Arabidopsis thaliana: one gene and its partner. The protein of the gene in region 1 interacts with the protein of each later gene in a pairwise test. Each region holds a gene or a part of one and is shown on either strand. Other genes may lie near its edges.

Region 1 (5,953 bases):
CCTGACCGGAATTCCTCTTCGCCATTCCCGCCGGCTTCTTCAATGTCGCCGCTATCCATTTCTCACGCCGTATCGGAACAGATCTCTTTCGACAATGAGACTAATATCTCGTCGGAATCCGAGATCGGAGAGTTTGAAATCTGATGAGAACGGAGATCGAGAGACTCGACGAATTAACGGAAAACAAAATTTTCAGAAGAGATGATTTTTCAGATTTCAGAGAATAAAATATTATAAACTGAGGTAAAATTAAAATAAGAGAAAACAAAGGGAAGAAAAACTAAAATGGGCTTTTTAATTGGGTCAAGCTGGCGGCTGAAATGTCCTTCAATTACTTAGCATGAGAGTCTTTTTGGTCAGTTCAAAGTCTTCCAGATTTTATTTTTGATTAACTCTAAATCATTAATTAAAGGCTAGACATAAACTTATCAAATCTGAAACTCCCCAATAAGTATAGTATAAAAAAAGTAAACCTTATCTTAATAATCCTTGTGGTCATGAAGATTGATTATTACATAGTTAATTAATATATTCGTTATCAGTAATTTTTGAATCTTTCCAATATTCTTAGAGGTTTAAAATAAAAATATAAAAATGACAAAATAGTTGGTAGTCAAAGTTACATAAACAATTGAAAAAAAGAAACATGATTACAAGCCTACAATGCACACATTTAACAATGGAAGCTCTCTTTTGTTTTTTTTAGCTAAACAATGTCCAAACACACAGTAACTGGACATTTGAACCGTGGAAATTTACCATTTTCACCTCTCAGAACTAATGCTCGAAGCTTTCTTATGCTTCCCACGACGCTCTTTAACATCCTTTAGCTTCTCTATCTTCACATTCTCGTTGTTAGACTTAGACACAGAACCTTCCTGAGCACTGCACATTTGATGCGACTTCAGCTTAAAACCGAACCCGAGTTTCTTAGAAACGTTTTCCCAAGTCTTGCTACCGACTCCATTGCTTGCAGAACCACCACCTTTTGTCGTCTTACCGAGTTTCTCAATCTCTTGTCTCATGTTGGAACATTCTTTCTCTAACTCACAAACTCGCATTCTCATACTGTCCATTCCAACTTTCAGGACTTGATTCTCTCTTACCGCGGTTGCCCATCCTCCTCCTCCTCCGCCTCCTTCGTTTGGTCCTCCTACATATCCTCCGCTTCTTAACTGTCTTGATCCGCCATCGAGGTTGTCTGAGACCAGGAAGCATCCAGCTACAGAGGTTCTGAGCTGTAGCTGCTCAAAGAAGAGCACTTGGACGATTATTCTTAGCGGTAATCTCTCGTTCTGCGCCGCATGTGTACAAGCTTCTAAAGAGAGTTTCTGACAATCTAACAACCGGCACAGATTCTCTCTTTCTGTTTCCGCCAACCATGGATGATGCTGAGAATCATCAAAAGAGAGAAAACTTAATCTGTCTGTGTGAAAAGAAACCTGTTACATAGGAGATTGATAGGGTTCTTTTGAGTGTTACCTTTAGATAAATGTCTATTGCACGATAGAGTCCGTCATCTAAGAGTCTGGCGTATTCAGGAATAGAAGCAGCTAAAGCTTGGAACTTTGGAAGCTTAAGATTGACATCAGGAGCAACTTCAGCAAGATACCCATCAATCAGCTTTGCAACCGCTGTCATTGGTGTTATTGACTGTGGGGATCCGATTAAATTCCCGTCATCTACTGAAGAACAAGGAGAGCCAACCCCACCAGGCATAATCTGATCTGTCCCAAGAAAATGGTCCAAGATCCTTTGCACAGAGTCAACATCGTATAGGGTCTCCATAGTATGAGAAAAGCTAGGCATTACAAGATCTTCCAACGCAGCCTGGTCAAGCTGCATCCCTATCCTCTTCTCCAAATTGGCTATGCAATCCGGACTTGCTTTTAAAATCTTGGCGATTCGAAGCATGTCAACGAAAAACTTGGTTGGAACTAAACCTTTTTGCATACGAAGAAGCTCCTGGATCTCTTCAAGCAAGTTCTTCTGCTCTTCCTCGGACAGTACATTCCCTGAGCCCAAAGGTGTGCTGAAACGACCACTAGATTCAGGTCCACCACGTCGTCTTTTTAAGCCAGGCAAGTGTTTTCGTGTGTAATAGGTTAGGGAGCCAGCGATGATGTCTTCTCTAATGCCGCGGGACTCCATCACCGTGATAAGTCTCTTAAAAAGGGGAAAACTTAGCATCGATGCATCCTCGTACCACCAGTCTGAACTAGTATGTTTAGGTCTAGCCCCGGTGCTTATCCCATTCCATAAAACACTGCCACCTGGACTCTGCATGGGCCCACCATGCTCCACAACTGGCCATCCAAACAAGTTTGGGTCTGTCGATGCTCTCATGGCTAGTGACTCAATGCATTTCTTGGTAATGTTCAATTCATCAGCATACTCGAGGACCTCATCGCAGCTATGAAGCGCTTTTATTGAATCTTTCCAGCTTTTGAGGACTACTTGATTGAAAAATGTTTCAGTTTGAGAAATAAGATTTCCTTCCCCATGTTCTTCAGTCATTTCGAGATGCTCAGCAGCGCATCTGAGATATACAACGTTAGAAGCAGTGAGTTCAAGCTTCACACCATAGCAGAACTTAGCGACTAGTTCAAACGTTTTGTCTCCACCAGGAAGATCAGAGATTTCAATGAGACATTTATCATCGCCTTCTTTTGATGCTTCTGCAATCCTTCTTTCCATGACTCCACTTCTAGAGAGCAAGGGAAACTGCAGATAGCCATTTTAAAAATAAGTATGAGAGATTGCAAGTAATAACATTCTTTCTCAAAGAGAAGGCTTAGTAGAGACTGATTTCTACAACAAGAGTCAAGAGTTCTCATTATTAGAAGCAAGGCATTGCCAAAACTACAGATACTGAATTGAGTTTTGTAGGAACCAAAAGCAAGACACTGGTGATTAGTCATTAGAAGAAAATAAAGAGCTCAAAACCAAATTTTCAAGGAACAGCAGTAACGATTTTTTTTATCCACAAGACTGATAAAACACAATGTATGAAAAGGAAAATAGAAACCAAACACAACTTTGATACATTAGCAGTACAGATATTTACAATGCCGAAGGACATAACATTCTAGAAGACCAATAATTAGTCCAGATAAATGCAATAATATCCCACAGTGTTTCGAGAAGAGAGTGTTTTAACAAATTGTACCTTGTGGAGATGAAAAGACATCTCCCCAACTTCAACGACAATATCACTAGGAAGTCCAGTTGTGCAAAACCTGCAATTAGCAAAAGACCAAAGAAGACAAAGTCAGACAAAGGAATGAGCTTTGTTTAACTCAGTAATGCTGCTATTTGCCTTAAAAGAAAGACCATGGTCTCAAATCCAGACCAAAGTCTGCTCAATTAGAAGCACAAACTTGGAACGAAAATACAATATAAAAATCAGAGAGAGGTCAAGTGAATATACCAAGCCTGGCCTTGTCTCTGGAAAGCATCAGATTTGGATCCCAGCTTCATGCAAGCCATTCTTTCTCTCACCAGAATTCAACAAAGAAACTAGGGAAATTTGAGCCTCCAAAACCCTAAAAAAAAACTCCCTCCAACTAAAATCAAAACCCTAATGTACAGAGTTTCTCAGATAGAAAGAAACTTTGGATTCATCCCTCAAAACCCAGATCGAGATAATAATAAAAACAGATCAATTTCACTCAGACATTCTAACAAACACTTAAAGCTGCTTCCTTTCTCCACATTCAGTAACAGAACTAACACCAGAAATTAACCTAAACCCAACAACAGATCCCTTGAGCAAAACCACTAGAAACCCAGAATCTCAAATAATCTTATCTCCAACACCAAATTCAAACAAAAAATAATGAAAAGAAGAAAAGAAACCAACCCCAAGAGCACAGCTAGACAAGAACAGCTAAGCAGAAGTTACCAGCTTCTTTATACGAGAGAATATACATGGAAGAAGGGGACCATATACCCCCAAACATTAAATATTATAAACTAAATAAAGGCAAAATTGTGGTCTTGTAAGAAATTAGAAAGTGAATTATTAATTGGATAATTTCAGTATTGGTTACTTTAGAAACTCATTTAATCGATAGTGATATAGAAAAAGGAAAGAGATGATGGAGATTTGAAAATCTCGAGATTAAGAGATTAATGAGTCTTTTCTTTTGTTTAAGATGAACACATGCACGCATGTGGGGTCATTTGTATCTTCAAACATACTCATTGTGTTGATTCTTGATATTAGCAAATACACTTTTGTTTTCCAATTTCATTTCTTAAATGTGGGGTTTAATTTTGTCCTAATCTTTACTCAAAGAATCCAATCTTTCCCACTAACTTTTGGCGTGCGATTGCGGTTATATATACTTAAGTGTTTCACTCCCTATCTCAAAATTTTGAATTCTGATAATTAAATAAAATATTTTATTTACTAGTTTATTCTTAGATTTTGATTCATTTATACTTAGAGTTGAACACTATGTGTTTATGATAATTTTCGTGACCTTCGATCTCAAAAAATTTCGTATGGATATATGTTCTGTTGTAAACACCTATGTAGTAAATCATTAACACATAGTGTTCAACTCGTATACAAACTATATCATCTAGTCATCTACGTACGTTTGTTACACATAACTTTCAGAACGTGGATCACTTCAATATTTCATGAATAACCTCGCCGACTTGTCATAGTCACGAAGGAGTGCGTATATAGTAGGTGTAAAATCATGGGTGGCTTTAAATAGTTTGGCGCATTCATGTCTTAAGTGATAACGGTATGTATAGTTGAGGAGTCCTCTTGCTAATCAAAATTAGGAATCAAATTGTATTATCTATGGAGTTTCATTCTGCCACTTTTTAACCACTATTTAATCATGACGCTCTACATACATACTATATCGTTTACAAAAGAACAAAAGATTATATATGTATACAGAGAGAAAGATATATCTCTGAATATCCAAACCGATACAATATGCGAACGCACTTGGCGAAGTCACGAAAGACATTTTATAGCAAAATATTCCTCTATTATTATTTGGTGATGGAATGTGATTTTGTCCGTAGTACTATACTTATCTAAGCATGTGGTTGAAGCTTCGTTGTCCGACGAAGTGTCTTTTAGTTCGGCTGACGTACGTAGTAACCAGCTAGCCCACGTGAACTTTTGACTTCTCTTTGGTTAACTTTTTTGTACTTCTCAACTTCCCACAAAAAAAAACTGAACCAACGACTTCAATAAACATATAATTAAGGATTATTTCAACCTTTAATTTGTACTCTAGCGATTTAAACTAAACTGTTTTCATTTTGAAGTTTTAATGCGGTTTCTAACTATGCACTTATATTACGTCGATAATAATCTATATACATGTCTATGAACAAAAACAATTAAAAGAAAAATAAACAAAAATACGCATGCAATGGTGAACAATGATAAGGACCTAAACGGCGAAGCTAAGTGTGAGTGACTGAGTGTCTTATCCTTATGTCTTTAGGATTCTTGAAATCTTGAAATTGGAATGCTCTTTCTTTTAAACATTTTTTATGCTCCTTGTCCACACACAAAAAGCACCTTTCCTTTTACATGCGTTTATGTTCTGCCTTTGTCGATCTACACTCACCCCCACATCCACAAGTCAATTCCATTTTTTTCAAATTCTTTGTAAAAAAAAAAAAACAGAAACCGTATACCACTACTTTTTATATGTATCTACTAAAGACAAGTAGTTTTTTATGGAAGTTTAAATTATCTTAGACAGAAGAGTGAAATCGAGATCTCATTTTGAGGGTGTCTAATATTGTATTTTTTCCCATGCTCATAAACCTTGAGCTAATCATTACGTGTTCACTCTCTAGTGTGTATGTAAAAGTAAATTACATGATAAGTTTACCTCACATTCTGCTTTTACAAACAAAAAGGTGAAAAAAAGAAAGAAAGAATATAAATTTACAAGTCCGAACAAAA
Region 2 (8,012 bases), on another chromosome or scaffold:
CCTCAACAATGCTTTTTTTTTTAGAATCAATGATATTTAAGGGAGAGAGAAAACAAAACAATTTGTGTTAATGTAAACATTCCTACTTGTACTATCAGTAGACCAACATCGTATATTTTACCAAAACAATATATATGACGATAGAAAAACAATGGTAATTAGAAAATATTAAATTTTCCTAATGTAGATATTCTTGCATATAGTAACTACTAACCAGTGTCATTATCCCATCTTGAATCTTGATTTGTCTAGGGGTTAATTTAGAAAATGGGAGAATTTAAGCGGCCAATATGTGAAGATTGATGTAAACTAACCAGTGTCATTGTCCCATCTTGAATCTTGATTTGTCTAGGGAAGAAAAAGGGGTCAATTTAGAAAATGGGAGAAGTTAAGCGGCCAATATGTGAAGATTGATGTAACATTTTCAGCCCCCACCACACACTCAAACCCACAATGGACACATGATGGATAAGATTATAACCCGTTAAGATCTTTTTTTCTCTTTGATCAATCTTCACATGGGTTCTGGTCCTACTTGTATATGAAATGTTACCATACTCTCCTCTTTGTATTATACCCTTCACAAATTTTGTCCATAGGGTTTCCGACAAAAGGGTTTGAATCTGAACTGTTCTGATATTTTTAACCAAGCCTGATAGTGATCGTGATCGCTTGGGATGACCAGTCTGTAGTGGCAGATCCATTTTTGTTACCGGGATCATAATATAACTTTTAAGAGAAAAAAATGTTACTGAATTTGAGTGTAGTGGGGTCATTATATTAATACCAAATTTTACAAATGATGATACTGTTTTTTTTTTTAACAATATTTACATGCAATTAAAAAATATTTAGTTATTCAATCTGAGACGTATCGGCGCTATGCCATTGCTAGTCTATATTTGTTACACCGTTAAACTAGTTACACATTGCTTTTTAGAATATGCAAATGATCAAATGCATGGTTGTTTAAGGTTGGATTTTTATTTTTTTATCCAAAGTTTAAGGTTGTATTTGTGCCCATGATTTGATAGCATACCAAATCGATTGGGTTAACAACTGCTATATATTCTTGCAATATATTTTGTTTATGCATCGTAATGTATAGGGAAGTTATCTGCTAATTAATAATTAGAGTGATTTTTGGAAAACAAAATAGAGACAGAATTAATAAAACCATTTTAAAGAGAGAAAGTTTTGACAAAAAAAAAGCGAGAGAAAGTTTTGATAAATCAACCAAAAATGCATATAACAATGACATGTGATTGCTTTTTAATTTGTTTGTGATTTCTGTACCGATCTCCATGTTCGATTTCATCACTAAATCGGATAAAAGTGTATGTTCTTCTTTAATGTTTTTGCATGAAATATCTTGCAATGCATAAAGACTGAGATTTCTACCATTACAAAAGTGGAAAGAGAACATCTATGTAATATTGGGTCTCTGCATTTGCATTTGGGAACGGTTTTGGCGTTTTCAAATGACAACTCACTCCCACTTATAGTCACTGACACACACAGAAACTTTTAAAAGAACAACCATCACTCCACACACTTATGTGTTCTTCAAATGTTTTATTTATCATTTACTTCAATTATACGCACAAGTTACAACAAGCAAGTTTTTTTGTGCAATATTCTCTTTTATAATCCTGTTTGTCCTATACCAAAACCTAGATTAATCACTGTCAAACCAACATCATAAAATTGTTGGTTAAGTCATATAAACCATTCGTTTCCAATAAGTGCCATAGAAATTGAATATTGAGCATAGTCAGAATATATATTTATGTTTGGTCTGGTTTTGTTTGACAAAGAGAGTATATTCAGGTTTATAATCTAATTATCAAGACAGAGTTATACAGAAGATAGATAAACGATACTAGTGTTACGTTTCTATACAATCTTTTGAAAGTAAACAAAAGAAGCCATGTGGAATCAAAAACATTCGAAGCATGGGAAGATCAAATAATCCAGTGATGGAGCTAGAACGGAACTAAATCAATCATGAAACCTAAATAGTTTTTTAATCTTTCTAGAATCTCTTCTTATCAAAAAATTTCCTTATTTGTATAAAAAGCCTCGGGAAAGTTAACTTCTCATCCCAAACTCATTCCTCAGTTTATCTCTCGACTAGAGAGTGAAGGAAAAATCGAAGGATAATCTGTTTCTTCCAGCACAAGTTAACTTGCAAGGTAGTTTTCTCCCTTCGATTTATACTGTCTTGCTCACTTTCTTAGGCTATTTTTAGGACGATTCATTTTTTTAATTTGTATGTTATTCATCTTTTTAGGGTTCTTGTCACATTTTCGGCCTTAATTTGTATGTGTAAAAATATAAATAGTGAAGTAGATATCATTTTATATCGTCTAGCACTCTAGCTACTAGCTTGATCTGAAACTAGTATATATATAAATTATTTGAATGTCAGCTTTTTTTTGTGAAAGTCACACATCACATGGTAGTTGCATATTTCAAGAACTCAACTGAATTCGATTTAAAATTTCTCCAATCATAATTCATAAAGATATGTATTTCAATTTTTTTAAATAAAAATAGATTTTCCTATTTACCATGAAATTTTTTACTCTTTTTATTTGTTCTCATATAAATAGAGTGATAAACTATTTTACAAAGTTCATTTATGTGGAAATTGATAAAATGACAAGAACATGAAAAAAAGACAAAGATTTTTAGTTGAAATCTGTGATCGATCGAACAGAATCGGTTCAGCTACTGTTTTTGTAATAGAACAACTGTCCATTTTTATACCAAAATGACTAAACCACCCTTAGAAGATGCATGTGTTGTGTGGTACTAAAAACTCAAAAAAGCATTGAAACTTTACACCTTTGTGTCGTTTTCTCAATTTTACCCCCGCTTCATTTGGAATTGTCACTCTCAAAATTGGCGTATTTTCCAGTTCATATCTTCATTCATCTATGGCCCCATAAACCATAACTCTTTGAACCATATTTAATAATGTTACCTGCATGCATATACATTCATATAAAACATGTATTCATTATCATGTTAGATATGTCTAGTCTATTATTTCCCAAAAGAAAGACACCTAAGAGAGCAAGATTCTTGTTATTCATGATAACATTTTTGAAGATTCAAAAAAAATGAGTGATTGATGAATTATTTATGGTCAGCATCTAGTAAAATCATATCGACATATCCAGTCAGCCTTAGTAGAAATGCACCAAAGTGATATAGAGTGGATTTCTCTCGATCCGTGTAGAAATGGACCACCACATTGTCTGTTTAGAATATTATATTTTTTTGTATAAAATTGTAGACATAATCTCTTATTAATAAATATTTAATGCAAGTTAGTTATTTTTAATTTTATGAAAAGAGGTTAACTCCAATATGTACCATACTACTTGAAGAAGTTAAATGACAAAAAAAAATATAAGTAATACTACCATTTCCATATATTGTACTGATATTTCAAACTTTAATCAACTTTCCTTTCTATTTCTCCTTCTTTTTTTATGGTCAAACCCATTCTGTTTATGACTAAACATATGACATATCTAACCGTTATTAATTAGTTCACATATCACATATTTGTATAGTGTTTTCATTTTCAGTAATCAAACCATCCATCTACCACAAAAGAACTTGGTCATGTGTCCATTTTTAGAAATCAATAAAATATTATACCATATATTTATAGTATCTAACTTTAAGAGAATAAATATTTTTATTTGCCGATTCATATACACACACATGCGTGTGGTATCTATGTCTATCCATTAAACTAATTATATATAAACTTATTTTCTGGCCACAATTTTTGTTTCGTGTATAGAGAGAGCTCAAAGATGGAACCAACAGAAAAACCATCGACCAAACCATCTTCTCGGACTCTACCTAGAGACACTCGTGGCTCTCTCGAAGTATTCAACCCGTCAACTCAGCTGACCCGACCCGATAACCCGGTGTTCCGTCCTGAACCACCAGCGTGGCAAAACTTGAGTGATCCACGTGGCACCAGTCCTCAACCCCGACCACAACAAGAACCAGCTCCATCCAACCCTGTTCGGTCTGATCAAGAAATCGCTGTCACGACCTCATGGATGGCTCTGAAAGACCCATCACCGGAGACAATCTCCAAGAAGACGATCACCGCCGAGAAACCACAGAAGTCGGCGGTGGCGGCTGAGCAGAGAGCGGCAGAGTGGGGATTGGTTTTGAAGACCGATACAAAGACGGGAAAGCCACAAGGAGTAGGCGTGAGGAACTCTGGTGGAACTGAGAATGATCCTAACGGGAAAAAGACTACATCGCAGAGAAACTCGCAAAACTCTTGCCGGAGCTCCGGTGAGATGTCGGACGGAGATGTTCCCGGCGGGAGGAGTGGGATTCCAAGAGTATCGGAAGATCTAAAAGATGCGTTGTCGACGTTTCAACAAACGTTTGTGGTCTCAGATGCTACAAAACCTGATTATCCGATTATGTATGCAAGTGCTGGTTTCTTCAATATGACTGGTTACACTTCCAAAGAAGTCGTCGGCAGAAACTGGTAAAAAGTTATTCAAAAAATTTTAGAGCATTTTTTTAATATATAAAATACGTTTCGTTTTCTGTAATAATTACCAAAATTGCAAAGTTTTTTCTAATTAAATATCATAGTTTTGTTTTTAGGTTTATGGTTACTATAAATGTATAAAGATATCTTAAATGACTTAGTAATTCTTTCTAAATTTTCAAAAATTAAACCTAACTTTATTTTATTTTTTTAGAACTTTTCGAAACTGTGTACCAAAATTACAAAGATTAAGTTTTAGGTATGGTTATCCTAAATGATTTAGTAACTCTTACTAAATTTCTAAAAACTTTTTATAAACCTAATTTTTATGTTGTTTTTCCAAACTAATAGCCTTTTATAAACTAAGTTTATTTTTTAATGATAACTTAAAATATTTCTTTTAAATCGAACATTTCTTTGCAAATTCGAAAAATTTCTTACAAAAGTTTCCACCATTTTTTGTTCAATGAATGAATTTTATTTACAAAAAGAAAGAAGAAAAGAACATAATTTGGGTTTTTGTTTTATTGTAGCCGATTTTTACAAGGATCAGGTACAGATGCAGATGAGTTAGCAAAGATAAGAGAGACATTAGCTGCTGGTAACAATTATTGTGGGCGTATATTGAATTACAAGAAAGATGGGACCTCTTTTTGGAATCTTCTCACGATTGCTCCCATTAAAGACGAGAGTGGCAAAGTCCTCAAATTTATCGGGTTAGTCCCTTATTCCTTTTTATTTACTCGTTTCTCTCCTTTATTTCTTTCATTCAAAATGTCACCCTTTTTAATGGGTCTAAGTGTGGACCTGTGATTTGTGTTGCTTTCTCCGCAATAATTCAAAGATTTGTATCACCGACGGATCCTATTGTAGAATAACAAAAGAGAATAATCAATCAGGAAAAAGAAAAGAATTATAGAATCTGATAAAAAAATATGATTTTGAGGAAAAATCAGAAGATACCAATATGTTTTGTTTATTTGGACCAGAATGCAAGTGGAGGTGAGCAAGCACACTGAAGGGGCCAAAGAAAAGGCTTTGAGGCCCAATGGGCTTCCGGAATCTCTGATTCGATACGATGGTATTTACATACTTTCTTTTTCTATTTGTTTTTCCAAATTTTTTTCCATTTATTATGTTTTCTTAAAAATATTTTCAAATTTTGTTTTGTAAAAGCCCGCCAAAAAGATATGGCGACAAACTCAGTGACAGAGCTAGTAGAGGCGGTGAAGAGACCTCGGGCACTAAGCGAATCGACGAATCTCCATCCCTTCATGACAAAATCGGAGAGCGATGAACTTCCGAAAAAACCAGCTCGGCGAATGTCCGAAAATGTTGTTCCGTCAGGCCGAAGAAACTCTGGCGGCGGAAGAAGAAACTCGATGCAGCGAATCAACGAAATTCCCGAGAAAAAATCTAGAAAATCTTCCCTTTCCTTCATGGGGTAATAATCCTTACTAGATCATTTGTTTACCTGACAATTACTTTATAAAAATCGATTTAGTCTTTGATATGATTGTTGTGATACTCTGGTGATAGGATCAAGAAGAAGAGCGAATCTTTGGATGAATCTATAGACGATGGATTTATAGAGTATGGAGAAGAAGACGATGAGATTAGTGATAGGGACGAGAGACCTGAGAGTGTGGATGATAAAGTGAGACAAAAGGAAATGAGAAAGGGTATTGATCTAGCTACTACACTCGAACGTATCGAGAAGAATTTCGTCATCACTGATCCTAGGCTTCCCGATAATCCCATTGTAAGAACAAATGTTTTAGAAAAATGGAAACTTTTTTTGTTATGTTTCATTTCGATTGGTCTGAAAACGTATTGTTTGCTTTGTCCTATGTTTCTAGATTTTTGCATCTGATAGTTTCTTGGAGCTCACGGAATATAGCCGTGAAGAAATTCTTGGAAGAAATTGCAGGTATTACATGAATGTGATCTCAAAATGTCTTTTGAAAATATTTTTGAGCATAGAGCATGTGTTTATAAATTTTGTTTCATGGTTTTAGGTTTCTACAAGGTCCAGAGACTGATCTAACCACAGTGAAGAAGATTCGAAATGCTATTGATAACCAAACCGAAGTGACAGTTCAGCTCATCAACTACACCAAGAGCGGTACTCGATTTTTTCGATATTCTTAGATTAATCTGTCGATCATTGTATAAAGTTTTAAATTTACATTATATTCTCTGTGGCAGGAAAGAAGTTCTGGAACATTTTCCACTTGCAACCTATGCGTGATCAGAAGGTATAATGGTTTACATAGATATCTTGCATTATACGGCACCTTCAAACTAATCCTCAATTTCTTTTGGTTTATGAATTTAAAACTGAAGATGTCTATATTCTTTCTTTGATATGTTGTTGACAGGGAGAAGTACAATACTTTATTGGAGTTCAACTAGACGGGAGCAAGCACGTAGAACCAGTTCGCAATGTCATTGAAGAAACCGCAGTGAAAGAGGGAGAAGACCTGGTCTGGAATCCTAAACTATTGATCTTGATTTAGTATTCGTTTGATAGAAAATCAAGTATTAAACCTTAATCTATATTCTTTAGGTGAAAAAAACAGCTGTGAATATCGATGAAGCGGTTCGAGAACTTCCTGATGCCAACATGGTAAGTGATTGTCTAAGGATCTGAATATGATCATTTTAGATTAAGGTTTATTAGAATATATCTGACAGAATGTTTTATTGTGTCTTGTTTCTGAAGACACCAGAGGATTTATGGGCAAACCACTCAAAGGTTGTTCATTGTAAGCCTCACAGGAAAGATTCACCACCATGGATAGCTATCCAAAAGGTGTTGGAAAGTGGTGAACCGATTGGTTTGAAGCATTTCAAACCGGTGAAACCTTTGGGTTCTGGTGACACAGGAAGGTCTGAAACTCTATCTAATCTAATGAAATAGCTTACAAAAAAAAAGAACATTTCCTTCATTAATCTTATAATATCCCATTTGTGTTTTATCAGTGTGCATCTAGTGGAACTCGTTGGAACAGATCAGTTGTTTGCAATGAAAGCAATGGACAAGGCTGTTATGCTTAACCGAAACAAAGTAATTACAGTAACTTGCACTTCAAGGAATCTTGAGTTTCGCTTTTTATTTGTAAGTTTTGTAGCCACTGATATAATTTTTTGCAGGTACATAGAGCTAGAGCTGAGAGAGAGATCCTAGATTTGCTTGACCATCCTTTTCTTCCTGCACTCTACGCTTCTTTTCAGGTCAAAACCTCTGTTTACACATATATATATATATATATATATATATATATATATGCGTGTCTCTTTGGTCTTTGGTTACTAATGGATCATGTTTTATTCTGCAGACAAAAACACATATATGTCTTATAACAGATTACTATCCAGGAGGAGAACTCTTCATGCTCCTAGATCGACAACCTAGGAAGGTTCTCAAAGAAGATGCTGTAAGGTACAAGTGTTCCTCGCTCGAAAA

Evidence for each region. Proteins that work in one complex are often made in the same cells at the same time.
Region 2: the proteins of AT1G30440 (region 1) and PHOT1 interact in a two-hybrid assay, tested with the Arabidopsis thaliana proteins (one study listed by BioGRID).

The regions. Positions count from the first base shown.
Region 1 is NC_003070.9:10,757,011-10,762,963, reverse strand, and holds AT1G30440 (Phototropic-responsive NPH3 family protein), read right to left. Parts: upstream 4,222-5,953; 5' UTR 3,490-4,221; coding exon 3,431-3,489; intron 3,240-3,430; coding exon 3,170-3,239; intron 2,725-3,169; coding exon 1,483-2,724; intron 1,392-1,482; coding exon 765-1,391; 3' UTR 535-764; downstream 1-534. Other genes in the region: CCC1 (cation-chloride co-transporter 1), read right to left, coding at 1-59. UniProt on the Arabidopsis thaliana protein: May act as a substrate-specific adapter of an E3 ubiquitin-protein ligase complex (CUL3-RBX1-BTB) which mediates the ubiquitination and subsequent proteasomal degradation of target proteins.
Region 2 is NC_003074.8:16,814,721-16,822,732, forward strand, and holds the start of PHOT1 (phototropin 1), read left to right. Parts: upstream 1-2,000; 5' UTR 2,001-2,195; intron 2,196-3,626; exon of another isoform or gene 3,627-3,823; 5' UTR 3,824-3,836; coding exon 3,837-4,537; intron 4,538-5,076; coding exon 5,077-5,259; intron 5,260-5,532; coding exon 5,533-5,624; intron 5,625-5,719; coding exon 5,720-5,987; intron 5,988-6,082; coding exon 6,083-6,305; intron 6,306-6,402; coding exon 6,403-6,473; intron 6,474-6,561; coding exon 6,562-6,668; intron 6,669-6,751; coding exon 6,752-6,801; intron 6,802-6,924; coding exon 6,925-7,029; intron 7,030-7,112; coding exon 7,113-7,172; intron 7,173-7,268; coding exon 7,269-7,435; intron 7,436-7,528; coding exon 7,529-7,613; intron 7,614-7,699; coding exon 7,700-7,780; intron 7,781-7,884; coding exon 7,885-7,988; intron 7,989-8,012. UniProt on the Arabidopsis thaliana protein: Protein kinase that acts as a blue light (BL) photoreceptor in a signal-transduction pathway for photo-induced movements.